7 linked regions of the Xenopus tropicalis genome follow. The main gene of each other region encodes a partner of the protein of the gene in region 2 in a complex. Links are inferred from orthologs where the notes say so. Each region holds a gene or a part of one and is shown on either strand. Other genes may lie near its edges.

What was found.
Region 1: the proteins of ncbp1 (region 2) and srrt are in contact, whole or in part, in a cryo-EM structure (PDB 8PMP), measured with the Homo sapiens proteins. The link is inferred for Xenopus tropicalis from reciprocal best matches to the Homo sapiens genes NCBP1 and SRRT. Residues at the interface, in NP_002477.1 of Homo sapiens: Tyr461, Gln463, Lys511, Lys557, Ser558, Ser560, His561, Ser564, Ala567, Lys568, His570, Lys607, Ile609, Arg610, Thr611, Gln612, Met648, His651, Glu705; in NP_056992.4 of Homo sapiens: Asp857, Pro858, Arg859, Val862, Glu863, Tyr864, Arg865, Asp866, Leu867, Asp868, Ala869, Asp872, Asp874, Phe875, Phe876.
Region 3: the proteins of ncbp1 (region 2) and phax are in contact, whole or in part, in a cryo-EM structure (PDB 8PNT), measured with the Homo sapiens proteins. The link is inferred for Xenopus tropicalis from reciprocal best matches to the Homo sapiens genes NCBP1 and PHAX. Residues at the interface, in NP_002477.1 of Homo sapiens: Cys380, Lys381, Pro384, Pro388, Gln389, Leu391, Ala392, Thr395, Phe417, His420, Leu421, Asn423, Phe424, Gln425, Arg427, Trp428, Ser429, Asp432; in NP_115553.2 of Homo sapiens: Ile114, Asn115, Asn116, Ile117, Trp118, Gly119, Val121, Leu122, Glu124, Gln125.
Region 4: the proteins of ncbp1 (region 2) and ncbp2 are in contact, whole or in part, in a crystal structure (PDB 5OOB), measured with the Homo sapiens proteins. The link is inferred for Xenopus tropicalis from reciprocal best matches to the Homo sapiens genes NCBP1 and NCBP2. Residues at the interface, in NP_002477.1 of Homo sapiens: Glu32, Cys36, Leu71, Thr74, Val75, Arg77, Leu78, Leu79, Ser324, His325, Trp326, Lys327, Glu328, Arg329, Lys330, Ile368, Val370, Met371, Thr374, Glu378, Asn415, His419, Ser422, Asn423, Gln425, Lys455, Arg458, Leu459, Ser460, Tyr461; in NP_031388.2 of Homo sapiens: Gly4, Leu5, Leu6, Lys7, Leu9, Arg10, Ser11, Asp12, Ser13, Tyr14, Glu53, Glu54, Gln55, Tyr57, Glu58, Leu59, Lys62, Ser63, Asp65, Lys67, Ile69, Tyr89, Asn96, Arg99, Tyr100, Asn102, Gly103, Thr104, Arg105, Leu106.
Region 5: the proteins of ncbp1 (region 2) and nelfe are in contact, whole or in part, in a crystal structure (PDB 5OOB), measured with the Homo sapiens proteins. The link is inferred for Xenopus tropicalis from reciprocal best matches to the Homo sapiens genes NCBP1 and NELFE. Residues at the interface, in NP_002477.1 of Homo sapiens: Tyr461, Lys511, Lys557, Ser558, Ser560, His561, Ser564, Lys568, Ile609, Arg610, Gln612, Cys616, Lys647, Met648, His651, Glu705; in NP_002895.3 of Homo sapiens: Arg362, Ile365, Val366, Tyr367, Ser368, Asp370, Val371, Tyr372, Gly379, Phe380.
Region 6: the proteins of ncbp1 (region 2) and ppargc1b are in contact, whole or in part, in a crystal structure (PDB 6D0Y), measured with the Homo sapiens proteins. The link is inferred for Xenopus tropicalis from reciprocal best matches to the Homo sapiens genes NCBP1 and PPARGC1B. Residues at the interface, in NP_002477.1 of Homo sapiens: Glu26, Asp29, His30, Ser33, Leu34, Lys37, Val38, Lys41, Ser42, Ala43, Cys44, Asn49, Gly52, Leu53, Val56; in NP_573570.3 of Homo sapiens: Tyr1006, Glu1007, Ala1008, Met1009, Asp1010, Phe1011, Asp1012, Leu1014, Leu1015, Lys1016, Glu1017, Ala1018, Gln1019.
Region 7: the proteins of ncbp1 (region 2) and ncbp3 are in contact, whole or in part, in a cryo-EM structure (PDB 8BY6), measured with the Homo sapiens proteins. The link is inferred for Xenopus tropicalis from reciprocal best matches to the Homo sapiens genes NCBP1 and NCBP3. Residues at the interface, in NP_002477.1 of Homo sapiens: Lys330, Ile377, Glu378, Cys380, Lys381, Pro384, Pro388, Gln389, Ala392, His420, Asn423, Phe424, Gln425, Arg427, Trp428, Ser429, Glu431, Asp432; in NP_001107590.1 of Homo sapiens: Glu572, Asp574, Glu576, Leu577, Gln578, Ala580, Trp581, Gly582, Leu584, Ile585, Lys588, Glu589, Arg592.

Annotation. Positions count from the first base shown.
Region 1 is NC_030679.2:151,511,792-151,516,064, reverse strand, and holds the end of srrt (serrate RNA effector molecule homolog), read right to left. Parts: intron 3,903-4,273; coding exon 3,824-3,902; intron 3,741-3,823; coding exon 3,564-3,740; intron 3,219-3,563; coding exon 3,045-3,218; intron 2,830-3,044; coding exon 2,676-2,829; intron 2,266-2,675; coding exon 2,072-2,265; intron 1,950-2,071; coding exon 1,787-1,949; intron 1,703-1,786; coding exon 1,613-1,702; intron 952-1,612; coding exon 701-951; 3' UTR 501-700; downstream 1-500. UniProt on the Homo sapiens protein: Acts as a mediator between the cap-binding complex (CBC) and the primary microRNAs (miRNAs) processing machinery during cell proliferation.
Region 2 is NC_030677.2:107,416,976-107,420,475, reverse strand, and holds part of ncbp1 (nuclear cap-binding protein subunit 1), read right to left. Parts: intron 3,266-3,500; coding exon 3,165-3,265; intron 1,495-3,164; coding exon 1,338-1,494; intron 1-1,337. UniProt on the Homo sapiens protein: Component of the cap-binding complex (CBC), which binds cotranscriptionally to the 5'-cap of pre-mRNAs and is involved in various processes such as pre-mRNA splicing, translation regulation, nonsense-mediated mRNA decay, RNA-mediated gene silencing (RNAi) by microRNAs (miRNAs) and mRNA export.
Region 3 is NC_030677.2:168,322,561-168,326,832, forward strand, and holds the start of phax (phosphorylated adapter RNA export protein), read right to left. Parts: upstream 2,801-4,272; 5' UTR 2,650-2,800; coding exon 2,536-2,649; intron 2,024-2,535; coding exon 1,416-2,023; intron 1-1,415. UniProt on the Homo sapiens protein: A phosphoprotein adapter involved in the XPO1-mediated U snRNA export from the nucleus.
Region 4 is NC_030681.2:106,058,488-106,062,732, reverse strand, and holds the start of ncbp2 (nuclear cap-binding protein subunit 2), read left to right. Parts: upstream 1-1,445; 5' UTR 1,446-1,479; coding exon 1,480-1,548; intron 1,549-2,777; coding exon 2,778-2,959; intron 2,960-4,245. Other genes in the region: protein NCBP2AS2, read right to left, coding at 750-1,076. UniProt on the Homo sapiens protein: Component of the cap-binding complex (CBC), which binds co-transcriptionally to the 5' cap of pre-mRNAs and is involved in various processes such as pre-mRNA splicing, translation regulation, nonsense-mediated mRNA decay, RNA-mediated gene silencing (RNAi) by microRNAs (miRNAs) and mRNA export.
Region 5 is NC_030684.2:74,052,615-74,056,114, forward strand, and holds the end of nelfe (negative elongation factor E), read right to left. Parts: intron 2,667-3,500; coding exon 2,420-2,666; 3' UTR 2,294-2,419; coding exon of another isoform or gene 2,149-2,293; 3' UTR 2,070-2,148; coding exon of another isoform or gene 2,015-2,069; 3' UTR 1,196-2,014; coding exon of another isoform or gene 1,093-1,195; 3' UTR 717-1,092; coding exon of another isoform or gene 607-716; 3' UTR 234-606; downstream 1-233. UniProt on the Homo sapiens protein: Essential component of the NELF complex, a complex that negatively regulates the elongation of transcription by RNA polymerase II.
Region 6 is NC_030679.2:44,011,391-44,014,890, reverse strand, and holds part of ppargc1b (peroxisome proliferator-activated receptor gamma coactivator 1-beta), read right to left. Parts: intron 3,426-3,500; coding exon 3,271-3,425; intron 2,669-3,270; coding exon 2,565-2,668; 3' UTR 1-2,564. UniProt on the Homo sapiens protein: Plays a role of stimulator of transcription factors and nuclear receptors activities. Activates transcriptional activity of estrogen receptor alpha, nuclear respiratory factor 1 (NRF1) and glucocorticoid receptor in the presence of glucocorticoids.
Region 7 is NC_030678.2:48,502,625-48,506,124, forward strand, and holds part of ncbp3 (nuclear cap-binding protein subunit 3), read left to right. Parts: intron 1-2,338; coding exon 2,339-2,447; intron 2,448-3,500. UniProt on the Homo sapiens protein: Associates with NCBP1/CBP80 to form an alternative cap-binding complex (CBC) which plays a key role in mRNA export. NCBP3 serves as adapter protein linking the capped RNAs (m7GpppG-capped RNA) to NCBP1/CBP80.

The sequences.
Region 1 (4,273 bases), on a different chromosome or scaffold from region 2:
GGTGGGTTGACTATTGGTCAACCAAAACCTGCCAATTCCCCCCCCCGCAAGCTTTACGTCTATTTATAGACCCCAACCTGCCCCACCTATGACACCACTGAGGGGGCAGGCACGTGCCTATGAATAGACCCAGAAGTGGGTTGCAGGCGAGAGGCAGAACTGAAGGGTCCCAGGCTGACCCCCGCACATCACTACTAAGGATACCGTGCTGCCCAGGGCAACTGGCCTAGAACTAAGAATGAATGAAAGTATAACTGTTGGCAATGCACAATGGGAGCCAGAGGACCCCACTCCTCCTCCTATAGTAAATCCTTATAGTAAAATCAGGTTCCTCCTTCATTGCTACTAGGGATGCACTGACGAACCCCTGAACCGAATCCAAATAACTAGGACCGGGAAGGGTTAAAAATTACTGTGCACCCCCCCTACCATTTAACCCGAGCGCATCGGGCAGGTTCTTACACAGCAGCCGCGACCCAGAAATAATCTCAGACCCGAGCTAAAAAGCTGCTCACAGCAGTGAGTTCATCTGTTTATTAAACAAAAAGACCAACGTTACCAAGTTCAGCCGCAGCTGAGAGGTCCTGTAACCGGCTACAAAATAAACCTTGGGAGGGGCGTAGGGACTGGCATGGCGCGGGCACGGTCGGCAGTGGGAAAGTGCAACAAAGGGAGGCGGCTAAAATAGAAGGCGGGGCATTTAAAAGAACTCCACATCATCGGGGGCATCCAGATCTCGGTATTCAATGATGGCACGTGGGTCCCCCCTGATCATCCTGCGGGGAGGAGAGGAAGAGTGTGAAGGCACAGACAGACACGTAGGCAGAATGGAGGAAGGCAGAGACAACGCTAACCTGTTACGTGGTTTTCCAGGGTACATCCCTTGGCCCCTAAAAGCGTCGTAATTTCCACGTCCAGCCCCGTAGGGAGTAGGAGGGAACTGAGGCGCGCCTATAGGGAGAAGCACAGTTAGACCCAAAGGCAGGATTGGTGCCCGACCCAGCCCAGTAGGCTGCCGAGTTGGCATCTCAGAGGCTGCAGGTCAGGCCAAGCTCTAGTAGAACTATGTATAACTATGAGCTGGGCGCCACCTACAGGCAATAAGCAGAACTGGCTGATCAGCTGCTTAGTTGGACATTCAGTTAAATTAAGTTTTAGTATGTCATAGAACGCCCAATTATAAGCAACTTTTCAATTGGTCTTCATTATTTATTTGTTATATTTATTTATTTTTTCGCCTTCCAACTCTTTGCAGTTTTTAAATGGGGGTCACTGACCCCAGCAGCCAAAAACCTACTGCTCTGTGAGGCTCCAGTTTTATTGTAATTGTTACTTTTTGTAACTTCTTCTATTCACCCCCTCTCTTATTCATATACCAGTCTCTCTTCCAAACCACTCCCTGGTTGCTAAGGTAATTTGGATCTTAGCAACCAGATAGCTGCTGAAACGCCAAACTGCAGAGCTGCTGAACAAAAAGTTAACTAAAAAAAAACTACAAATAAAAAATGAAGACCAACTGCAAATTGTCTTTGAATATCACTCACTACATCATACTAGCATTTGCCTATCATTCCTACCAGTACGGCAGACTATGGCTGCTAGGGCTACTCACCTGCATATCCCAGCACAGGGGGCCGCGGCTGGGCGTAAGGTAGGAGGGCTTGGGGTCCCTGGTGGGGGTACAGCAGCCCAGCGGCCAATGCTGAAGGAGAGAGACAAAGAGCACAGTGAGGGGGTGAGACAGAGGGAAGCTACGGATACAGTGGTTTCACCTGCCTGCACTTACCTTGCCCGGCTGTACCAACTGGCGGCTGCAAGGGTTTGACCTCGGGGAGGGCGGGGCGCTTGCTGTCGATCAGGTAGTTGTTGAAGAACGCCACCTCCTTCTTCACCTCCTCAATCTTCTCGCCATGTTTGTTGAAGATATGCTTGCGCACAAACTCCGGTCCCTAGGGGCAAAGGGGCAATTAGTTCCAGTGGGTTTCCCCCTAAATGCCCCACGATCCATTGCCCCGGACCCATAACAGGAGCCCCCGGCCCAGTCGTCCTATCACTGAAATAATCTACGCACCTTGAATTTCTTGCCGCTGAGGGGGCACAGCCACTTCTCCTTGCCCAGCTCCTGGGTGTTGGCCGTCACAAACTTCTCCACTTCCTGTTCTGGGTCCTTCTTCCCCATCTTCACTGCCTCCTCCTCAGACAGGGTCTCCCGAACCGCAAACAGGGGCGACAACTTCTCCTCAAAGGTCTTCTGCCACTCGGCCACTGCCAGGGGGAGGCCCACAAGTGAGAAAAGTCATCTCCCCTCTCTGTATAACAGTACTGAGTATCTCCCCTCTCCTCTCTGTATAATGCTACTGAGTATCCCTCCCCTCTCTGTATAACGGTACTGAGTATCTCCCCTCTCCTCTCTGTATAATGCTACTGAGTATCCCTCCCCTCTCTGTATAACGCTACTGAGTATCTCTCCCCTCTCTGTATAACGGTACTGAATATCACTCCCCTCTCTGTATAATGGTACCGAGTATTTCTCCCCTCTCTGTATAACGGTACCGAGTATCTCTCCACCGATACCCACCTTCCCTCTCCGAATACCTCCCCCCTGTGCAATACAGGTAAGTACTAAGACTACAAGACAAGAAGCACTGAGCAGAGTCTATATCTGGGGTCTGTACCTTCACCATGTGACACGCGGTTGGGGGGCAGGGGGCCGCGCACGTGCATCATTCCACACCGCGTTGGCATCTCATCCTCATTGGGGTACTCGCATGTGTTATAATAATCAACAGAATGGACAATACGAAGGTAAAATAGGAGTTTATCCAGCACCTAAGTAGGGGGAAATTTTTTTTTATAAATTTAGTAAGCTTAAATCATTGGACATCTATATTATGGAAAGATCTCTTATCAGGAAAGCCCCAGGTGCCGAGCATTCTGGATAACAGGTCCCGTGCCTGCACTGTACATGACACATCTATACACACCGTGGAGGCAGTACCAGCCCAATACACACAGCTACACGGCGCTGGGACAAATGGCAGTACCTTGATAAGCTTTTCGTCCCGCTCCACGCTGATCTCTGTGGGGTTCCCTTCCTTGGGGGTCTCTGTTTCAGGGGTCCTTCCCGCACTAAATAAGAGCTCTTCTTCCTCTGCGTTCACTTCATCAATAAGGTAGTCTGTGATGTTCTTCAGAATGGGATTCTGGGCTGAAACCATCTGAATATGATGGAGCAAAGCAAGAGGCACAGAGGTTAGAACAGAGCACCCCAAAGCCCTCAGTCCCCGTCCAACCGAGCACCCCAAAGCCCTCAGTTCCAGTCCAACCGAGCACCCCAAAGCCCTCAGTTCCAGTCCAACCGAGCACCCCAAAGCCCTAAGTCCCCTGTCCAACCGAGCACCCCAAAGCCCTAAAAGAATAGGACTATATAGGTATGTGTAGATTTGTCTATACAGTTCTCTCTCTATATCTATCTATATCCTTATGTGCATGGAGTGGGGGTCTAATGTAGGGGTTAAACCTGTGACTTCTCAAACCCAATGAAACTCGAATGTGTGTCTCACCTGGTCCCCCTGCTCCCCCTCCCACAGCAGAGCTCTCTCATCCAGAGCGTGGATCAGCCTTGCTGCCAGCTTGATATCATTGCGCACAATGGGGCGGTGCATGGTTATGCCGTTTATATTCCGCACTCGATAGGTCAGGTCTCTGTTCACCCCGGGACTCAGTTCACACTCACGGAGCTGGGGAGAGAAATAAGGCAATGGGATAAGAGGGGGAGGACCGTACGGCCAATGGCAGGCAGCCCGCGGGGCAAGGTACATACCCGGATATTCTGCACGCTCCAGCAGATCTCCTTGATGTTGACGCTGCGATCGAACGTCACGTATGCTTTCCGAAGAAACCTGCCGTAAGGGAAGAGACTCACATTTAATCCGTGTGCAGCAATGATGGGAATTCCTGCATTTATTATTAAGTATGTTATAGACTTGCCTTTTCTAAGCAACTTATCAATTGGTCTTCATTATTTTTTATAATTCTTAATCTATTTGCCGTTTACTTCTAACTTTTTTTAGCTTTCAAATGGGGGTCACTGACCCCGGCAGCCAATAAACTACTGCTCTGTGAGGCTACAGTTTTATCGTTACTATATATAACTTGTTTTTCTATTCAGGCCTTCTCCTATTCCTTTGCAATCCTTTCATTCAAACTGCTATCTGGTCGCTAAGGTAATTTGGACCCTAGCAACCAGATACCTGCTAAAACGCCAAACTGT
Region 2 (3,500 bases):
GTGACTACAGTTTTTAGTAGAATTAAGTCTAAAACTAAACTTTGAGTGGTGAAACGGTTTCAAGAAAACTCAGAGTGCCTTCTTCAGTTGTGACTGACTGTATACTGCATCCAAAAACAACTGCAATCAAATCAATTAATGGGCTGAATTATTTCACATTCTCGACTGCAAAAGATTTTTCAGTTTGTCAAAATGCTACCTGGAAGCATAGATTCCACTAGCATGCAAGATTTTTTTTCAAAGGCCTAATGTATACCTCCATATTGTGTGATGGCAGTCAGATCCATCGGGCTGAATTAGTAGCTTGATTAATCTGATATTTGCATACAATACAGCATTAGAAAGTGAAAATTGTGGATCAGATTTGCAGTATTCTGCAACTTTTTCTCAAAAGTAATTATAGGTAGAAAAGTCTTTCTACTTGGATATTTATCTGTAAAGATATTTGAAAAAGCCTAGGTGCCTTCATAAGTGCCCCTCCCAACTGCATCAACCGAACTCCTGAATAGGACCCCCATTCCTGTGCGCCCAAAGCAGATTATGAATCTGGGTTGGTGGCCATCATGTTTGTGCAGGTCACATCCTGTCTGAGGCTCTACAGGGGCAGCTGCCAAGGAAAAATTGAACCACAGAAGACTGACCTATGTCCATCTGCTAGCAAGCATGCTCCTGGTCAGGGACAGTACCAAGGTTATGGGGGCCCCTTTTGGGAGTCTAGTTAAGTGATTGGTGTAACCTATGAGGGGCTTTAAAATAATTTTAGTTCTCCTTTAAGTGACACACAAAAAAAGGAGTGTTTAAGAAGGTACCGTTTGTATGCACCATAACTAATATGGAAATAAAAGTGGCTTTGTGTAAGAGTCACAACCCAATTAAATATTTTCAGAATAATAAAGCAGTTATGCCAAATGCAATGCTATTTCTCGGTGTATAGAAAAACCATTTAAGCCAAATGAACCAAATGAGTCTTGAAGAGAATGTGGCATCCCCATGGATATACAGGCATTATTTATCAACGTTCAAATTGTAATTTTTTTTCAAACTTTGAATAACCTCGACATGTAAAAAAAAAAATGCTAAAAGTGCTGTTACCCAATTCAATACCTTGAATTTTTAATGGGTCGACAATTTTTTTTTTTTTGCTTAATTATTGAAAACTTGTGTTTTTTTAATCCATTATTCAAAATCATGGCTTTTAGTCCAAAAAACTTAAATCTTAAAAAAAAAAAAAACCACTGATTAATAACCCCCATAGTGTTTGAATCTATGCATCAGGAGAGTGCAAAAGAACTGCCAAAACAAACTAGACACAGATTTAAGAGTAAATGGACACTTACTAAATATACAGCTTCATTGTAAGCATTCAGTTTAATTGTCTCCTTGAGATGACGTATCATAGCCTCCACAAATTCACCACCAAAATTGTAGTTTCTGGCATTAAGTAACCCAACTAATGTAGTGTACACAGTCATTTTTTCAGGCAGCGTTCGGGCACTACATAAAAAAAAGCAGTGGTATAAGTACAGCAGTTTTGCAAATCTGAGGTCTATGACAACTGTGTTGATCATATTAAAGAGATACTGACAGCATATATTAAACCCCTTTTTACATCTATCATAACATTGTCTTTGCGTGGTATTTATAATGTTACCTTAAAAGTATTTGCTCAGTGCTTTTACATTACCTATCTGATACCCATGTTCCTCTATGAGGAGGGTTCCAAATTTGTGCAGCAGTAGTCTGTTAACATTACAAACTCTATCAACATGACCTATAGGCAACTTTTAATGTACAGTAATATTTTGTTTTATTTAGTGTTCAGTATCCCTTTAAGAACACAATGCACATCCATTCTCCTCCATTCCACTGCTGCCTATGGGAAAATGGCCAGAAATGGTTCGTTTTTGCTTGTGCATTTTTAGGTTAAAACTGTAGAAAATAATCTTTGACATAAAAAAAAAAAAAATAACCTTAAGTCATTCCCCACAGTCTGTGACTCCAGTAATAACCACCTACATCAGTGGTTCTCAACCTGTGGGTCGGGACGCCTTTGGGAGTTGCCTAAGACCATCGGAACCATTTCCAATGGTCTTAGGTAACCGAAACACCGCTCCTCTATGGTTGTGGGTCACCACAACATGAGGAACTGTATTAATGGGTCACGGCATTAGGAAGGTTGAGAACCCCTGACCTACATGATTTCAGCAGACAACAATGTAAGAAGCAAATTGTAGCATGTTATGCTATTACATTGCCAGGAAAACTAGTGGATATAAAGGCACTCCTCTTGCTACAACCTGGTCTTAAAAAGGTTATAGCAATAAAACTTTTACTAGTTTTAAAGTTTCTTGTAAATATAATTGCTACTGAAAGCACCATTTGTCTACATCTTGCTATTCATTGCCTTGCTGGTTCTGACTGTAATAAGTGTCTAAGAAAAGCCAGGTGATTAAAGTGGTAGTTTGCCTTGAAATTAAATTAGTATTATGTAAACCTTGATATCCTAAGGGCGAAGACACACAGAGCTACTAGTAGCAGTTACTTGTCATGGATACAAAAATAGACAATGCTGGTCATTTACTGACAACTGTCTGATTTTTAACAGAGCCATTTCACAGTATTTTCTGGCTTTAGTAGCCATGAAAAAGTAGCTGCAACTAGTAGCTCCGTGTGTCTTTACCCTAAGACAAATTGCAAATGGTCTTCATTTTTTAAATATGTGGTTTCTCTGTTATTTTAGTGTATCAACAATAAAATTTCAGCTTTTTAAAAACATGTTTCTTGGCTGCCAGGGTCAGTGACCCTGATTTAAAAGTTGGCAGAAGAGAAAAGCAAATAACTCAAAAACTGTAAAAAATGAAGACCAATTGCAAAAGTTGCAATACCTGTAAATTGGATTGCACTTTCAGAATATTGGTCTTTGGCTGGATGAGATCTGGAATCTACTACTCTGTTTCAAAACTCAGAACAACATGTGAAAAGGACAGACAAATACAGCTTTCAATTAAAAATAAATTTTAAATGCCAATTTCTTTCATTAGGCAGCATTTATAATTTTGAGTTTACATCCCCCTTAAATCTTCATAAATTATATTTTATCCTTCACACACCACTCTAGTAGCCAAAGCTACACACGGCAATATCTAAAGATGTGTCATACTTACACTGAACAAAGAATTCTTAAGATCTTGCTTTTATAGTTAGGCAGATCAGCTTCCAAGACACCAGCCAAACCTTCTAGGTTGCTTTCCAGTGAGGATGTACTCTGAAAAAGACGATATAATTGATTTTAAATAACTAAAACCCATCAGTATCAATAACAATGAAGAACTCATATTTAATATTTGTACTGTAAGTTAACTGCTTTAAAGTATGCATTACAAATGAAGAATTATGCGGTTGAAATAGAGCATCTTGTAGGTTGCCACTTCACATGGAGGCTACCAAATTGTGAATTAGCAGAAAAGTAGATGGAAGAGGGCTACTGGAAGCAACTTCAG
Region 3 (4,272 bases), about 61 Mb from region 2:
GTATGGCAAATAATGCAGTATTAGGAGTCTGCAGTGATACAGTTCAGAAGGAAGGCCCATTAAGGGAGCATAGTGTTTATAGGCTTTTATTCTCCTTTAACAACTATTTACATTCTATGGTCTTGCCTGACAACACCTAGTCACAATATGTATTCTGTAAAGATTGTTTCAGAATACTAAGCATGTCATTCTTAAAGAACAAGGAAAGCCATTACACAAAGTCTGTAGTATGTGGTAGCAACCCCCCTCTTGTACCTGATCATCAGATTATTTTATCAGAATTCCCAGCAGTGCTCCTCCTTTGCCCTCTGATATGTCTGATACTACCCCTTAGTAATGGGCAGTGGTGTAACTGGAACTTTATAGTTCCCATGATAACATTTTTTTAGACTCCCTCATTCTTTAGACCTCAGTTATTCTTTACATGCTTATGCTGAAAGGCTTTGATGAAGTTCCCAGTCTTCCTGGGCCCCTATGACCTCCAATACAAACAAGAGCATAAACAAGCTAGCCAAAGCGATACCTGTGAATTTCTGGAACTCTCTTCATAAAGTAGTTGTACTGGCAGATACATTAGATAGTTTCAAGAAAATAATGGATACCTTTTGCTAGAAAATACAAGGTTACTCAAATTACCTCTTAGTACAACCTTAACCCAGGTGCTGGACCAATAGCCTAATGGAGAAATTCAGATAAAACTTCACATGTTATATTTGCCTTCCTCTGGATCAACAAGAAATTACAAAATTTGATCCTGATGGATATATATCTTTTTAAACCGCATTTTTTTTGTCTAGTTACATAGGGAAAACTTGGGTTTATTTACTTGGCCAAAACACAAACCGCAACAAGAAGGTTGCTTGACTGCACTAACATTAGAAGAACTTTTAACTTTATTTTGGCAGACTTTACTTTAACTGTCTAATAATCTGTGGCTGCCTTCCACAGGGACTCAGCTTGCAGACAGTTATAGTACCCTGTGAGATGAATGCTAAATCAGCTGTATCCTAGCACTTACTGCATTTATTACCCCAAGAGGCACATTTACTAATCCACGAACGTCCGAAAAGCGCCCAAATGCGTTTTTTCGTAATGATCGGTATTTTGCGACTTTTTCGCGAACTTTTCGTAATGGCTATGAAAAAGTTGCGACAATTCACGAAAGTCGTAATGGCTATGAAAAAGTCGCAAAAAATACGAAAATACGCAAAATGTTAGTTTCCAATCCAATTTTTTCCCATTCGGGATTCAGATTCGTGGATTAGTAAATCAGCCCCTAAGTCTCATTATTTTGTGATCCAACATCCCTGTACTAAAGTATTTAGAATATTTTTCTTTGACAGTGGTAATGCAAGAGCCACCATTACAAGCATAATACTACAATGCTAAGGCAGATAACAGCTCTGCAATCTTACCTATGGGCAATTTCATCAGAGACTTTATCTTCTGAGTCAGCCTCAGTTATTTCATATCTGCCCTTGTAATCCATTTCTAACCTCTCTCCCAGTCTTTCTTTAATAGGTCGTTTCCTCTTGAGGTGCCCATTTTCCTCTTTTGGTGCAGACTCTTTATCTTCTTGCATGTACTCATCTAGTTCTTTGTCCAGCTTCAGTTCTTCCTCCTTTTCTGTTTTTTCCATCAGTTTCCTGGCAAGAATATAATTATATGTCTCCGATTGCCTACTCATATCCAGTTGGCCTTCCATATCCATAATACCTAGTTCAGTTGCCACTGCCTCTTGGGTCTGCTCCTGAAGGACAGCTCCCCATACATTATTACGCTTTGTACCCCCCGTGCCAATAGGCCTTTGTTGGCCCTGCAGTACAGGAAGAGGTCTGGCCATTTTAGGGGCTGGGTGGGTACACTTCTGCCGTTTACGTTTCCATGAAGAACCATCTTCATCATCAGAATCAGATGCACTATCTTCACTCGAGTCCAGACCTTTAGTCGTTCGGTAGGGGACATTATTTGAAAGGGTACTATTACTCCGGTAACTGAGTGAAGTGGTGATTAAATCTGTTTTCTGAAAATATAAAAAATCAGTTCAATGGAAGATGCCTTTCAAAAAGTATAACTAATCAATATTATGTGTTAGCAGAAACAGAAATATCAGAGATTTCAAGACTAAAGGGTTAAACTAATCATCATTAATATGGACGATAGAAAATTGCAGGGAAACAAAACACTGCACCATGCTTCAATAGTAAGTACAGCAAAGGTTACATTTCGCAATGCCAAGAAACAACTAAAGAAACTAAAACTTCCATTATATCAGCAAATGCTATTATGTGCCACAACTCTATGGAATTTCTGACATCAAAGTGAGAAAATAAAATGACAGCAATGGATATATAAAAGCATGGGGAGGTATATCGCCCAACAGGGCCTTATATGGCTACTGCTCCGGCAAGGTATGGCTACCACAGACTGCAGGGTAGAGGCATGATAGCAGATGGAACATCACGTCTAACACATTGGCTTTACTTATTGCCACAGGGAGCCCTCAACTATCCCACAGGCCGGCATTCCCTCTACCTGCTGCCCTTTGTTCCCCACTCCCGACGTTCTCATGTCTGTGTCAGAGCCGCTTAGCTCCCCGTCTTCCAAGCCCTCATCCTCCATCATTTCCCGGGCTGCATCTAGCGCCATGATACCCAGCCGGATACGGAAATACGTTGAGAAAGTGAAAACTCAGGGGCCGAATGAGAGTGCGAGACCTAGCCGAGAGCCCATTGTAAGCGATCTGCCATGATTGGAATGGGCAATCCTACCGTCCCGCCTCGGAAGTGAACTGCTTGTTCGCTCATTGCTTGTTGGAAATTGTACTTATTAATGGCCGTGGGGTTTTTAGCGAGGTTACTAACTATACGTCACTTTAAGGTTTAATAGGCGGGCCCCCATTGGCCGGAAATTTGTGTCAGAATAAAACTCAAGCATGTCAACTTCAATATAAGGCAGGCAGGGAAGAAAATGGTCTGTACTTACTACATTACATTACATTTACATTAACATTTATTTACTAAACTAGACACGCTAACCAAGTGGGACATACTGGACCAATAGCCCCGGGAGCAGATACGTTACAAAAAGGTGATGCTACAAGAATAAAGGCAAATAATTTAAAATAACTATTATGTAAAGTTCTTCCTGTTGATTACAATGAGGGGTCTGCCATCTCTGCAGGATGTTTCTGCCCAAAGTTATCCCAGATAAAAAGGAGTTCTTATGGGCCCCCTATCCTGGTGTATCCTGCTGTGTGCAGACATCTCACAGGCAGGCTTGCTGGGAGTAAGGGTGATGGGTGTTGCCAGGGTCAGCGCCCCCCCGCCCGACCGGTTTTCCCTTGACGCGTTAAACTTACACACGCTCAGGGGAGGACATCAGGTGTGGGGAACCTGTGGGGGACCCCGGCAGGGGGGGGGGTAGGGGACGCGGCTGGCAGGGGCCCTGCACCCCCCAGTCTGACCCTGGGTGTTGCCATTAGCCAGCATCCATAATATTAGGCTGATGCCACACGAGGCGTAGGGCTGATATTTTCGGCAAGCAGAAAAACGCTTGGCGAAAATCCAGCCCTACGCCTGCTACTTGTGCCTGCACCCGAATGAATGGGATACGCTCGGGTGCAGGCACATGTAGCCGATATATAGCCGATACAGCGTATTCCATTCATTCGGGTGCAGGCACAAGTAGCAGGCGTAGGGCTGAATTTTCGCCAAGCGTTTTTCCGCTTGCCGAAAATATCAGCCCTACGCCTCGTGTGGCATCAGCCTTAAGTGCTAATTTGTGTGCTTGCCCACCTGTCAGACTGTGAAATTGTTTAAAAATATTTATTTCTTAGGTCCTGAAGGTCAAGCAATTTTACATTCTGGGTTCATTTGCAACTAGGCTTGCCATGTTTTCTGGAAAAAAAATTCTGGCCCTCCTATAGTTTTTATCTTCTCGATTAATATCATTGGCACCAAGCATTATTTTTACCGGCCAGGCCAGGAAAATACCAGCCAGGTAGCAACCTTATTAGCAACCCCTGTACTACAGCAAGTCTATGGGGAAAATGTATTATAGTATTTAAGCCAACATTACTGGCGATGTTGCCCATAGCAACCAATCAGATCTTTTTGTTTTTATTTTCTAACTTCTAGGTGACCGTTCAACTGTAATTTCTGATTGGTTGCTATGAGCAATATCACCAGTGATGTTGGCTTATGCACTATAATAAATATGCCCCTATGTATTATCTGGCCACCTGGACTGCTAACCTCTGTTATCACAACT
Region 4 (4,245 bases), on a different chromosome or scaffold from region 2:
AATGTATGCCCGTCTCCCTATTCTGACTTCAGAATAACCCTGCTTACATACACTGTTGCTCTACCAAATATACTAAGCTCTGTTAACTCCCCAAGCATTGTGCTTACAGTATTAGACTTATTATTCCTACCAAAAGAAATCCTGTTGCCTACATACACAACTATTGTTTCCTCCAGTGCTTTACTCAGCTGGTATAAAGAATTGAAAATTCAGGATATTCCCAAGTGTCTAGGGGTAAGGTTCATTATATTGTGGAACCCAATAATGACAACCAGATTAACCAGGTTGTTAATAATGAAGCTACTCCTGGAAAAACAGATAACTGACATGCGTGTTATTGGGCATTCTACATCCAGCGGGACCCCAGGGCTTTCCCCATTTACAAGCAAAGTACAAATTATGAACCATCTACTTTCTCAGGGTAAAATAAAAAAAAGAGCAAAATCAATGCTTTTAAACACAAATGTATACATTTATTTTGAAATCTTCTCTAAAAGGCACCTTGTCACAAGCTGACAAATTCTAGCTCATTTACCCACACAGGGCAGTAGTAGTTATGAAATCCAATCAAATGTTTGTTTTCAAACTTCAGTTTGCAGCTAACAGTTACCCACTGACTGGTTGCTATGGGTAACTACGCCCAGTGATGGAACTGATGTGGGAGGCCCTGGATATTGCTGTAGTGCCAGGGCAAGGTAACCAGCTGCCTCCGTGTGTAAGTGGGCAGTGTGTGCGGCTACAGTTTATCATTATTTCCCTTCTCCCCTTTTGATCTGTTTCTTGGCATCCTGCAGCCCAGTCCGGAACTCCCTGAGGAAAGTGTCCTTAATGCGCTCCGCCTTGCGGCCCATCTCCCACATGTCCCGGGGGGGCCCAGCCCTGCTCGTCTCCTGTCGGATCTGTCGCACAGTGTCGGAGCGCAGGATTCTCTGGGCCGCGTCCTTGCCGCTCAGCTGAGCCTTGGTGACAGCGAAGGCAGTGATTTGCGCTGCTCTCCGTATGGGCCGGGACTCGGAGAGTTTCTCTATCAGTTGGGGGTTATTGAGCAGAGTAAAGAGCAGTCTCCTCAGAACCATTGTGCTAATTCAGTTTCGCTCTCACAAACACCAATGTCGCTTAATTCACTATTGAGCCATACTGCCGCTCTGTAAGATCCGCCACCTACGGCAAAACGTACAAATGCTAAACTGGGCAGAGGTGCAAATGAATTATATCGCTGCGCCCCACCATGTATAAAAAGCAGTCCCGGCTATCGGCTACACTCGCTCCATACTCACTCACTGCTCGATAGACTGCACTTGTGCGCCGCTCTCCGCCAATCCCAATTCTCACGGTCACCTGCCTGACCTCACTATAGTTTCCGGTTCACCCGGATACAATATTACACTGCTGCTCTGTGATTGGTCCTTGTGCGGCTTAATGGGCGCCACTTGGAGAAGATTAGTGAGGAGACTGTAGCTTCTGTAAGGAAGAACCGACATGGCTCTGGGTGCCCTAAAGAGCGACTCGTACGTGGAGCTGAGTCAGTATCGGGACCAGCACTTCCGGGTGAGCTGCCGGCGGCACCTACCTGTTTGGGTTGGGCGGGCTGTGCCTGTTAGTAGTGCTGTAGGCAGTGGGGGCACGCATTCTGCTCAGAACCAGCCTCCTTTGTCTCACTGGCCGGGATACGAGCTACAGTACCAGCGGGATCTGTGTGTTGTTCTGTTGCTTCATTCTCCCCTACTGCAATAATCCCTACTTGAGAACTCTATTGCCGGTTTCTAATCCTGTATCATGTAACACTGGGGGCTCACACTCAGTTCTGGACTGGGATTCAAAATAGGCCCTGGCATTTTAAGTTCAAAGAGACCCAAACAGCCCTCACCAGCCCCTCTGGTATTTGCCAGAACCCACAGATTGCCAGTCCGGCCTGTTCATAATAACTCATTATGGGCATCTCTCATATACCCTATGAGCTCCTGCTTTCCCATGCTGGTGTGTGCTTCTCTCTTAAGGTCCCCATACACGGGCCGATAGAAGCTGCCGATATTGGTCCCTTGGACCGACTTGGCAGCTTATCTGCCCGTGTAGGGGCAGAAACGAGGGGCCTGGCCGACCGATATCTGGCCTGAAATTGACCAGATATCGATCGGCCAGGTTAGAAAATCCAGTCGGATTGGGGGCCGCATCGGCTCGTTGATGTGGCCCCCGAACCGACTGCCCCATGGCCGCAACTGTAATCCGATCGTTTGGCCCCAGGGCAAAACAATCGGATTATTTTTTTTTAAAGCTACTTGCTACCCGATATCGCCCACCTGTAGGTGGGGATATCGGGTGAAGATCCGCTCGCTTGGCGACATCGCCAAGCGAGCGGATCTTATAGTGTATGGGCACCTTTTAGTTTCTGTCATCTAATTGGGTATGTGTCACACACTTCCAGAGGAACCAGAAGGTAGTTTGTCTGAACGTATTAATGTACTTACCTGCTTTGAGGTATCTGCAATAGCATTGGCTTGAATGACCTGCCAGCATGGAGTGACTTGATGTGGCAGTCAGGCTTAAACTGACATTATTGCATTATAGAAGTTAACCCAGGTTAAGCAGGCAATTATTACAAAACAATCTGTGTTGATAAATGCATTGAATAATTAATTGTATGAGAACTAGATGATTTTAATGATTGTGGCAGGGCTGCCTCTAAAGACTGTGAAAGTTTATTTTTTTTTAATAAGAAAATAAGGATGCAGTTTGTCTTCCAAATAATCACTAATTATGTTGATTTGTTTATATTACAGGGAAACCGGTCTGATCAGGAGTGTCTGCTAAAGCACAGTTGCACCTTGTATGTAGGAAACCTGTCATTTTATACAACAGAGGAACAAATCCATGAACTGTTCAGCAAGAGCGGCGATGTTAAAAAAATTGTTATGGGGCTCGATAAGATTAAGAAAACAGCCTGTGGATTCTGTTTTGTAGAGTATCCTTTTTATATATTTTTTTTTTTCAATCCTTTTTTTTTTTTTTTTTGCCCACTTTTGAGGAGGACCGGGTATATATAAATGTAGCCCACCCCTAGGTGTGGCTTGGATACTAGCAATACGACTATGTTGATACCCCAAAGATTTCCCACTGTATACCAACACAAGTAAAAAGTAAACCTGTATTTATTATACAAGACGGGGCGGAAATAAATTGGTAGTTAATGCAGAAAATAGAAACAGAAGGCAATAACAAAATGTAGTGAAATGCAATATAAATCGTTTAAATTCACACAGGAATTTAAATTTTACAAGGTAAATAGACACCTAATATGTGATGTATGGGTGTTTGGGAGCTCCCCTTTAGTCCTAAAAGCCAGCAATGTTGGGGCCCTTAACTTCCAGGATGTCTAAGCTATGTTTTATAGCTTTAAATGCAGATCTCACTTCCAAATTCTCATTATTAAACTAGTGTCTTCGATGGGCTGGATTGCAGTCTGTGTCTGGGAAATCGCTGTTCACTCTTTTAGCACACACACCCCTTGGACTTTAATGGTAATCTCCAGCAGATCCCCACAGTAATTTCCCTTAAATGCACTTCCTTCCAGTCCCCACCAGTTATTTTTTACACTTTTCTTTCTGTAGAACAGGGCTGTCTAACTGGCAGCCAGTGCCCCCCCTCCCTTTGTAAGAATGTTATCAGTACTGAGATTAACTGGCTCACTGCATCATTCACACCTCATGTTCAGGCTGTAATCCCCCTGTATTGTTTAAACATTTAGTCCCCTATACTGTTTACCCCTTTTAGGGTTTGCATTGTTTACCCCTGCATTGTTCACACTCAAACTGTAAATGCACACATTGTTCACCTGTTCACACCTCAGTATGAGCATTGTGTCACTGTATGTGTCTGGGTGTGCCATACTCTGCCTGTGTGTGCCATACTCTGCCTGCCATATGGGAGGTGAACCTGGCAGGGGCTTGTTCTGGGAGTTTGTTAGCAGTTGGAAATAGTCATTATATGGTCCCTAAGGTGTGTAATTATGTGCTGGGGTTTGCTGTGCTATCTACAGGGGAGTAGAAGCCATATAGATTTAAGGGTATGTCTTGATATAATATAATTCTTTCACATATGAATGAAGTGTGATATACCTACACCAACCATTTGGGTTTTTGCTGTGCTACCACCATTAATGTGGGCATGGTCTTAAAAGCTCTTGTGATAACATGGGTGTGGTTTGAAGTGGGTTCAGTTTAAAAAAGGGGAGTGGTCAAAACTTGGCTT
Region 5 (3,500 bases), on a different chromosome or scaffold from region 2:
TTCTAAGTCATGCTGCAGTGCTGCTGAGACAGCAGAAGAGCTCATACTTATATGTTCTTAAGTGATAAACCACATCTGAAAAATATAGTTGAGTGTGTGAGTTTTTCTAGCAAGTCTCCAGTTTGAAATGGAAAGTGTTATATTAAGGTTGTCTATAATTTAGGCTGTTACATGTGACAAAACATATACCATTACTGTGATACTCAAGAAATAACTTGGGTCCCAATACCTCCTGTTGTACCTTATACAAGTAATTTTATTTACCTTCCTTGTGTCTATTGGCATACTCTATGCATGCTGAGATGGTAAATGTGCCCAAAACAACTGAGATAAAGCCAATTAGTAGAAAGTAGTCACTAAATCATTATTACAGGAATGTAGAGTACATATTTAAAGGGACAATGCAAACAGTAACCTACATATCCACAAATAACTGAAAAGCCATTTTAAATTATAGTTAAAAAAAAAAAATCTTGGGCATAGCATATAAGCACAGTCTTGTTTCTTTAAATAGTCAACGGTCACTTTATTTACCATCCTCAACCATGTGTACCATGTACACATAGAGATCTTGGGCCCTAATATTCTCTTTCTCCTCGCTTCTCTTTATCCTGGCTTTTTATCAGCATCAGTTTGACCATCGCTAAATAAATCTTCAGAGTAATTGACCTGAGACCTCTTATCTCTGTGTGAACCTTTAACACTGTTCTGTACAGCTGTGAAGGAAAAGAAAAACAGAAGATAAATCTGTGACATTTTACTATATAATGTTAAGTACCAATCCAGGGCAGAAGGGGACAGTTTTCTTATTGGTTAAGTCTTCTTTGTTTTGCCTGTGCTGTCAGAGCACCCATGTGGTTGCACTATTAACTTCTGAATTGCCCTTTAGTGTAAATAGGCAGTCCACATTCCACCTCCACCGGGTGCTACAGGTTTGCAGAGATTCTTGCCTTCTACAGCTTGCCTTGTAAAAGCAATATCATGCTGGTACTGTCCCTTTCACCAGCAGTCCATAATGTAGCTCTGCAGCCTTATGACTATATTTGTAGAGAAATTGCAAGAGAAACATTTACATATAAAGTTACAACTTACCCAATGAACCCCAAACTGATTTTCCTGTGGCTGCCTCCAACATAGGCTGTTTGCGAGCTATGCTAACCTTCACTGGTATGTCTTCTATCACCTTGTTATTAAGCTGAATTAGAAGAAGAAGAATTCAGTTCAGACGTGAGAACAAATTTTACAGAGGTTCAAGGAATTTGACCCAATAGGGGCATGAGGTTAAACTTCTCAAAGTATAGCTGTTTGATATACTTTTAAAAGAAAAGTAACACCAAAAAATGAAAGTGTATCAAAATAATTATTATATTATGTACTATTTCCCTGCACTGGTAAAAGTAGTGTGTTTGTTTCAGAAAAACTACTATAGTTTATATAAATAAGCTGCTGTGTAGCCATGGGAGCAGCCATTCAAAAGGAGAAAGGGCACAGGTTACATAGCAGATAACAGATAAACTCAGTAGAATACAATGGTGTCTTATCTGTTATAAAAACTGTGCCTTTTCTCCTTTTTTCCAGCTTGAATGGCTGCCCCTGTAGCTACACAGCAGGGTATTTATATAAAATATAATAGTGTTGCTAAAGCAAACACACCAGTTTAGGTAACAGTAAATTATATTTTAATTACTTTAAGACATTTAAATTTTTTGGTGTTACTGTTCCTTTAAGGCCTCCAACACTTATCATAGCAAACAATCAAGCAGATAATTATAGCAAACATTTAGTGAAGCATACAACACTGCATAGCACAGTTTTAGAAGCCTTGCTGTTTAAATAAAGAGCCCAATCTTTATTTTCTAAAAATCTGAGAAAACAAAAACGGCTTAAAAAAAAACAACAAAATCCCATTTTTTCAGTTCTATGTGTTTAATACTCCAAAGTGACAATGACAAAGAATAGCAGTATCAAATGGAATAAAGGAGGCAGTAAAAGGAAACCATGCAGCAAAACTCACCTCTGAAATAGCCTGGTCAGCTGACTCCATCTTCTCATATGTAACAAAAGCACAGCTGGGAATAAAAGGCCCCCAAAATTAAAAGGTTGCCAGCCTAAAAGCACACTAGTAAGGTCCATACAGTGCCTACTTACTTCCTTGGAGCATCCACAGAAAGATCAATAATGTTCCCAAAGCTGGAAAAAGCCTCACGAAGCATTGTCTGGTTCATGCCCACACCATGAACATAAACAGTATTACCTTTCCTTGGAGCCCGACGTTCAGGGAATGAATCTGATCCTACAGGATGCATGACAAAGGCACTGGTTAAATCATTAGTAAATGAAGACCTGGTAAGGAAGTTAGGCAAAGGGAAGCTAAGATGAATAGCAGAGCTATAATTCCAGCCCTCTGCTTCAGTAAAAATCAAAAAAGTGGCAAATTACTGCGGTAAAAGCCATCTCTGTCCCTTTCACGATCTCTTTCGCGGTCTCTCTCACTTCGGTCTCTATCTCGTTCTCTGTCCCGGTCACGATCTCGCTCTCTTCCACGATCTCTATCATAAGGTTCTCTCTCTAAAAGTTCCCTCTCTCCTCGACGAGTATCCCTCTCACTCTCTCGTTCCTCGCTTTCTCTCTCAGGATCTCTCATTCGCTCACTCGGGCTGACAAAACTAGAATGAGGGGGGAAAAAAATTAGGAAGGAAAAGGTACAAAAGAAGTACATAAGAAAATAAATCTGGATTAAAAGATTTACTCATTCTAATGAGCCAAATTTCTAAATAGTTATACACAGTTCAACACACTAGAGAAAATTATTGTGCTATCTCTACTAATTAGTGTAGAATAACACAGAAGTAGTTTATAAAAATATATACATCTTTACTCTGTACTTTGTTCTCTTTTTCTAATACTGAAGTTTAAACTTTCCTGTCTCTCTCTCTCTCTCTCTGGTGTTTAAAGGACACCTACCCCCCTTAAATTGTTACCCCACCAAAGGTGTAGGCTAATAGAGCCTGCACTCTGATTAAGAGAAACAATAGCTGCTGGCAGCCATGTTGTGGCATTCGCACGTGCATAATGAGTGGATGCCAAAACTCGCAACTCATGTGTGACGTAGGAGGGTGAATCACATCCACCAATCCTACATCAGGCAAAAGCGCATAATGAGTGAGTGGGGAGACATACTCATTATGTGCATGCGCAGCAGACGATGCGGCCACCCACTCTGGAAGCTCCCTCTCAGTGTGGGCAGCCTAGCAATGGCGGGGGCTGTATTTTAAAAAAAAAAAAAAAAAAAAAAAGGAAAACATTGGTTTCCCCAACCAAAATGCTGGGCCTATTAGCCTGCACCTCTGATGGGGGAACCAATTACAGGGTGATAGGTTAAGTCTAGAAGCTCAGTAATCCAGGTGCATACTTTGAACTGTTAGCAATTGCTATGTTAGTAACTAATTACTATATTAGTTCATACATCAGCATCTGTAGAATATTAGCAACTATTGTAT
Region 6 (3,500 bases), on a different chromosome or scaffold from region 2:
TGTGGGAATACAATGATAGAAAAAGGCAGAGCTATGATAAGGTGTTTGCCAAAGAGTAAGTTATAATCCTTGCAAGGGATTATGGGTGCTGCTGGAAACTTTGGCAGAATATGAAACCGGAAAATATCCCAGCTATGACTATTTCTAGAAGTAAGGCTAACTACGCATAATGGCTTAATCCTACATTCTATGCTACCCTGCTAAATATTCAAGAAATCCTAACTGGAGCTAGTAGCCCCAATTCTCAGACATTAATGGTTAGTCCCTAACACATCTGTGTCAGAGGAAACAATGGCTTTTTGTGACAAGCTGAAACTGTAAGGTGGGAGACTGAAAGTCCCCAACTCTGTGTTATTTGTTCAGCATTCAAATGAGTATTGCTGTGTGCTACAACAGGGACATGAAACCTGCAGCTTTTAGGATACAATGGGCGTTGAAGGCCGCATATTTGACCTCCACGTGTTATTTAAGCAGCGGCCCCATGCATTCCCTGCTAGCAAGAGGATAACATGGCGTCCACTATGTCATGGTTGTCTTTGGAGCAAATATCATACTGTGCATGACAGACTGAACAGTTCAAATACCATAATAAACCATACCGTCCCTTGGTTACAGAAAAGTAACTCTCGTCTTGTTTATGTTCAGGACTTGTTTTTTTTTTTTTTAAATGTAATGCATTTAATGAGAGTTTAAAACAAATATCCAACTCCATGAGCCATGAATTTGGCTGAAAATCAGCAATGGACAGGCTATTAGGCTATACAGCCCCACATAACCATGCGTAGACAATGTGGCCACTCTCTTCAGCACTTGTATAGGAGGATATTTATGGCTGTATGCATTTTGGGAAATGTGTAGTACATTGTACTGCTTAAACTGAGCAATTAGGTTAAATCATAAGGTGTCTCTGAAAGTGCTTACACAGAATAAAAACTATATATTTTACAAAACTGATATATAACCTCACTGTCAGTTAGAAGACAATAAAACCGATTGCTTTAAAGTGACAGCGGCATGGGAATGCACTAGTTATTCAAAGGTTTTAACAAGAATGTTCAGTGTTTTGTCACCTGTCTGTAGCTCTCATGCTTTTGGCACCCATTAGGTTTAGGCTGCATCAGTCCATTCTGTGCCATGTGGAGACAATTTATGGTCTTAAAGGGGTGGCTTACCCTCAAATTAACTTTTAGTATAATGCAGAGAGTGCTATTCTGAGACAATTTGCAGTTGGTCTTCATTTTGTATTATTTGCAGTTTTTGAATTTAACTATTTGCTCAGCAACTCTCCAGTTCAAATTGCAGCAGCTATCTGGTTGCTATGGTCCAGTTTGACCTAGCAAAACACGTAGTGGTTAGAAAGAGAGACAGAAACATGAATAAAGGAGGGTCTAAACAGAAAGATAAGTAATACAAAGTAACAGCAACAATAAAACTGTAGCTTCATAGAGCAATAGTTTATTGGCTGCTGGAGTCAGTGACCCCCCCCCCCCCCTTCCCTTCGAAAACTGGAAAGTTCAGAAAAGAAAAGCAAATAGTTTTATAACTAAGTGTTAACCTGAAGGTTAATCATCCCTTTAAAACAGGCACAGCAAATGCTATATATTATGATTGCAACTATATTTATGTATTTCTTTGTACTTTATGATTTCCCAAGGATGACACAGACACAAACGGGTAAGAGAAGCCACTCAATAACAACCACAATACATGGGGCTGGCTACCAGTTAGTGACATTGCAATATATGTTCTTTGCATCTTGCTATTTCAGTTTTAAAAATACTTTTTGGGATAAAGACTGTTAAAGAAAAATGTGTGAGATATATATATTTTTAAAAACGTAAAAGTTATAAAGAAGTTAAAATGCAGTTTTCAGTCCTGAAGATTCCGTGACCTCAGTTGCGAAAGACTCTGAAGACTCTGTTTTGCTACCAATAGATATTCGTGATTCTTCCCCACCGTAGTAACTCTATGAAAGCCCTGCGGTCTCTCAGCTTTAGAGTAATGCCCAGTAATGGTTCATGGCTATTAGTGTATGAGGATTACATTTTTGATCTTTTGCAAACACCCCACTACAGTGCATAGTTCAAAATGAAGCATACATCAATCTGAAATACAGTACATGTGAACCATAAATACATCATTTCATTTAAGAATATACATCTTTCTCCTATTAAAATTAGTTTGTAATTTAGACTCTAGTCACAAATGACATTGCATTTTTGTATGGTTTTGACTTTTTTTCTTTTCTTTTACACGCACTACAGACAAAATATTATGGAGAACGCAGCTGCAATTACAACAGGAAAGAGAAGAGGCCGAGACGGGACGACGACAGACACACCCGGGAAGCAAGTATACTAAACTGTGGCAGTGAGACAGCGACACCATGGAGAAAAATCACATACAGAAGCAGCTTTGTTCAATGTAAACATCAATTTAAAGGATAAAGTCTTTTTGTTTCTGTATTCCATTTTTGTTTGTTTTTTTTTCTTTAAAACGTAAACATAGGGGGAAGTGCCTTGACTTGAGGTATTGAGGTGCTCCTCCTAATGGGGTTAAGGCTGTCATCGATGCAAGCTTCTTTGTGCCTCTTTCAACAAGCTATCAAAATCCATTGACTCGTATTTACTCTTTTTTACTGTTGATGAAGGCTCCACTGCATTTGAATCTGTATAAGATTGGGACAACAAGGGGTTAACTATGGCAAGACTCTGTCTACAACTCTAAAACAGAGAAAAGAGAAATATTAATCTAGCGTAAGCCATCCTAATGTCTCAGAGAGTTCAGTATGTCATAATCACTTGGTCTGGTTACTTTTGTAATAACATTCTTTTCATATAAGTTTGGGAAGCCTTTAGAACTCCAGTTGCTGAGGACTGTAATTCCCAGCATGCCTAAGTCTGCAGGCTGATTTTTGCATCTCACTGTAGAAGGTGCATGAAGCCAGGCAACGTATTCAGGGAAAGCCTTCGAATGAGATTATTGTAGAAGAACGTCACTTGCACATTCTATAAGAAAATGAGCCATGGCAGCAGGACATAGACCTGGTTAAAGTTAGGTAAAAATGACCTATGTATGCCATAGTGGTGCTAATTACTTGGTGTTCAGATATAACAGTAGTGTAGAATAAGGCTACAGAGGGGCTGCTGTATGATGCCATAGACAGTCACTATTTAGTGGGCTGGTGGGGGTGGTTTGGGCCTTTGTGTACTTAAAATATAAGGGCCTATTGCACTAATGCTAATATGGTCAACAGGTCAATATTTTTACCTAGATCATTGTATTTGGTCCAAAAGAAATGCCTGAGCCCCCCATAGCTCAAGTGTAAAGGGGGCTCACTCCGTTTTCTCAGGGAGGCTCCTTTTTGTAGAGCCAAGGCTGCATGCTCCGAATGCCGATAGGTTATGAAGCCGTATTTCTCTCCCCTGAAGAGACAGTGGATAATAGGTTAATCTCTGGAACTCCAGTCCCCAGTGTAAGGGGGGAAAATAAAATAAAAC
Region 7 (3,500 bases), on a different chromosome or scaffold from region 2:
AGTAGTAACAGTAATACCAAAAACTAAAACTATAATATACTATTGCCCTGTACTGGTAAAAGTTGTGTGTTTGATTCAGAAACACTACTAGAGTTTATATAAAAACCCTGGCATGTAGCCATGGGGGCAGCCATTCAAAAATAGAAAAGGCACAGGTTTGGGCCGTGGTAGACGGGGAGATTTGTCGCCCGCAACAAATCTCCCTTGTTACGGGTGACTAATCTCCCTGAAATGCCATCCCACCGGCTTGAATGTAAGGGCTCTGGCACACGAGGAGATTTGTCGCCTGCGTTTTTTCCCCCTGGCGCTTTGGCGACAAGTCGCCAAGACGATACCCACAAAGAGATTTCATGCGAGTTGAACTCCAGGCGATCTGCTACCCATGGTACCACTCAACAGTTACCCCTCCCTCATGTTTACTCAAGTCGTTCAGAAAAGGGTCTGTGTGCGATTTGAAACAGCAGGCGATTTGAAGTAGCCTCGTATGTTTTGACGCTGGCGATTTCCATTGATTTAGCATTGGCGTCTTGTCGCCAAATCACTCTTTTAAAAATCGCCGGTGACAAATCTCCTCGTGTGCCAGAGCCCTAAATTGCCGGTGTAGTCTTATCTGGTATGTAACCTGTGCCTTATCTCCTTTTTTTTACAGCTTAATTGGCTGCTCCATGGCTACAGATCAGCTTATTTTTATAAACCTATAGTAGTGTTCCTGATGCAAATACACAGTGTTAGGGCTCTGGCACACGGGGAGATTAGTCGCTCGCGACAAATCTCCCTGATTGCGGACGACTAATCTCCCCGAATTGCCATCCCACCGGCGACAATGTAAGTCGCCGGTGGGATGGCACACGCTGTGCAGACGATTTCGGCAAATCGCCGAAGTTGCCTTGCGAGGCATTTCCGGCAATTTGCCGAAATCGCGCCGCCGCGTGTGCCATCCCACCGGCGACTTACATTGTCGCCGGTGGGATGGCAACTCGGGGAGATTAGTCGCCAGCGAACAGGGAGATTTGTCTCGGGCAACTAATCTCCCCATGTGCCAGAGCCCTTAGGGCTATGACACACAGGGAGATTAGTCACCACGCAACAAATCTCCCTTGTCAAGGCAAATTGCGGTGCCGCATATGCCTTCCCACCAGCGATTTACATTCTAGCTGGTGGGATGGCATTTCGGGGAGATTAGTCGCCCGCGACAAGGGAGATGTTGCGCGGCGACTAATCTCCCTGTGTGTCACAGCCCTTAAGGTATGGTGATCTAATTACTGAAAGACCCCTTATCTGGAAAACCCCAGATCCCAAGCATTCTGGCTACCAGGTCCCATACCTGTATATTATAACAGTGCAGAGAAACATAGGATTTATACAGAAGCCATAGTGGTTATATAATGCATAAAGTACCCCCTATTGTAAAATGCAATATTATAAGTCACGAGGCCAAAGGCCGAGTGCTTTTATACAGGTCATGGAACTCCAAAGCTCAGTCTTAATTATATTCCAGGTCAGTGGAGATTTTAGGAGCAATCCTGGGCTTTTTTTCCAGAATTCCTTCTACTTGCATACCAGTAAGGACATCTCTCATCAACCATAATGCTTTTTTAGCTAAACCACTTCCCTGGCTCTATTAATGCTGATTGGTAATTAATGCCAGTTTGGTAATCCAATCCGCATACTGACCAGCGTGTGCTTTAAAACCCAGTGAGTAAAGGTCCCCATACACGGGCCGACTATAGCTGCCGATATCGGTCCCTTGGACCGATTCGGCAGCTAATCGGCCCGTGTATGGGGAGAGCAGAGCGGCCAGATCTCGATCGGCCAGGTTAGAAAATCCAGTCGGATCGGGGACCGCATCGGCTCGTTGATGCGGTCCCCGATCTGACTGCCCCATTGCCACCCACATAATCCGATCGATTGGCCCCAGGGCCAAACGATCGGATTATTTTTTTTTTTTACCTAAATGCTCCCCGATATCGCCCACCCGTATGGCCACCTTAAGGCTTATTATCAAGGGTTTTCCATGTAAATGACAATTTAAGGAGGAATCTTGAACTTTTATCCCAAAATTCCTTCTGCTTTGCGTAATAATGAGAACATCTCTTGTCAACCGAAATGCTTTTTTTTTTTAATTTTTGGGTGACCACAATAATAAAAGAGCCTATATTTTTTAATGTTAGACCAGTTATTTTTTATATATCATAGGGTTCTATAGATGTGTATGCACATGTACACATGGGGGACAAGCAATTAATATATAAATAAATGTAAAAATGAGTTTATTGTTTTGCTGCATTTTGTTATACATTTTTTATTTACTTGACCATGTGTTGCTATATTCCAACAGCCAGATACCCTTTCCGAAGCTGAGCAGGCATCTTTATTGAAAAATGAGCTCCGGCCTTCTAGTAAACCAGTGAAAGGAAATAGTCTGTACATGAGATTTGCCACTAAAGGTAAGGCATTATTGTCCTAAGCAACCACAGGCAATTTATTTTTGTTTCTGAATGCAAAGTTTCACTTCTTATTTTACTGATTTAGTTCTGAACATGAAAACAATCAGTGTTTTCCTCTTACACAGCTAAGCCTGCCCCTAATGAGTTTGGGCTGACCTTGGCATATCATTGAGCATGTCTGGCAAGCCAGAAATCAAAGCAAATTCCCGAGGCGGGGGGGGGCGGGGTTTACAGGAGAAGAAGCAAATCTAAGTGATTAAAGGAACAGTAACACAAAAAAATAACTTTTGACATATCCCTTCTAAATACTTTATTAAGATATGTAGCATTTAAAAAAATTCAATATTCTACATGGTTTCAAAATAAATTACATTACCAATGCCTTACTGTGCAGAGCTTGAAAAGGCGATACGGCGACTTCCGGTTTAATCCGTTTTGTGTGATTTATGGGCTATTAGCAGTTGGGGCGAGGAGAGGGGATTAGAGACATACCGTTTCTTCTTTACAGATAAGTCTGCATCGCTGTTTGAAGTAGCGCTGTGTGTGCCTGCATGAAGAGGGAGGGGGGGGGTGGAGGGGGGAGCGGAACGGAAGCGTGGTGCGAGAACTGCTGCCTGCTCTCTATAAATCAGTGCTAAAGTAAGATTTCTAAGAAAAACTACTACTGCTGTTGAAATTTTTGTATGATATATTTGATAATGAAAGTATATAGAAGGGATATTTTGAATGTAAAAAAATTGTGTTACAGTTCCTTTAAGGGGATGCTGCAGCCTTACTATTAACCTCTGGACAACCAGAGTAGCAGGTATTGAAAGATTTCCAAGAGGCTGATTACATTTTCACTGATTTACATTTTTGTGTGTGGGGTTTACATGTCCTTTTAAAATGCCTTTAAAATGTCCATTTTCTAATTTGTACCTTTTAATGGACTCTCTGGGTATTTCTCCTCTTTCTTAGGAGGACAGACACCAGGGGGGTTACTTGTCCTCTTTCTTGAGTGGCAGGGCACTAAATGAACAATTCACATACATGGCCATGCAATGTTCTATCATT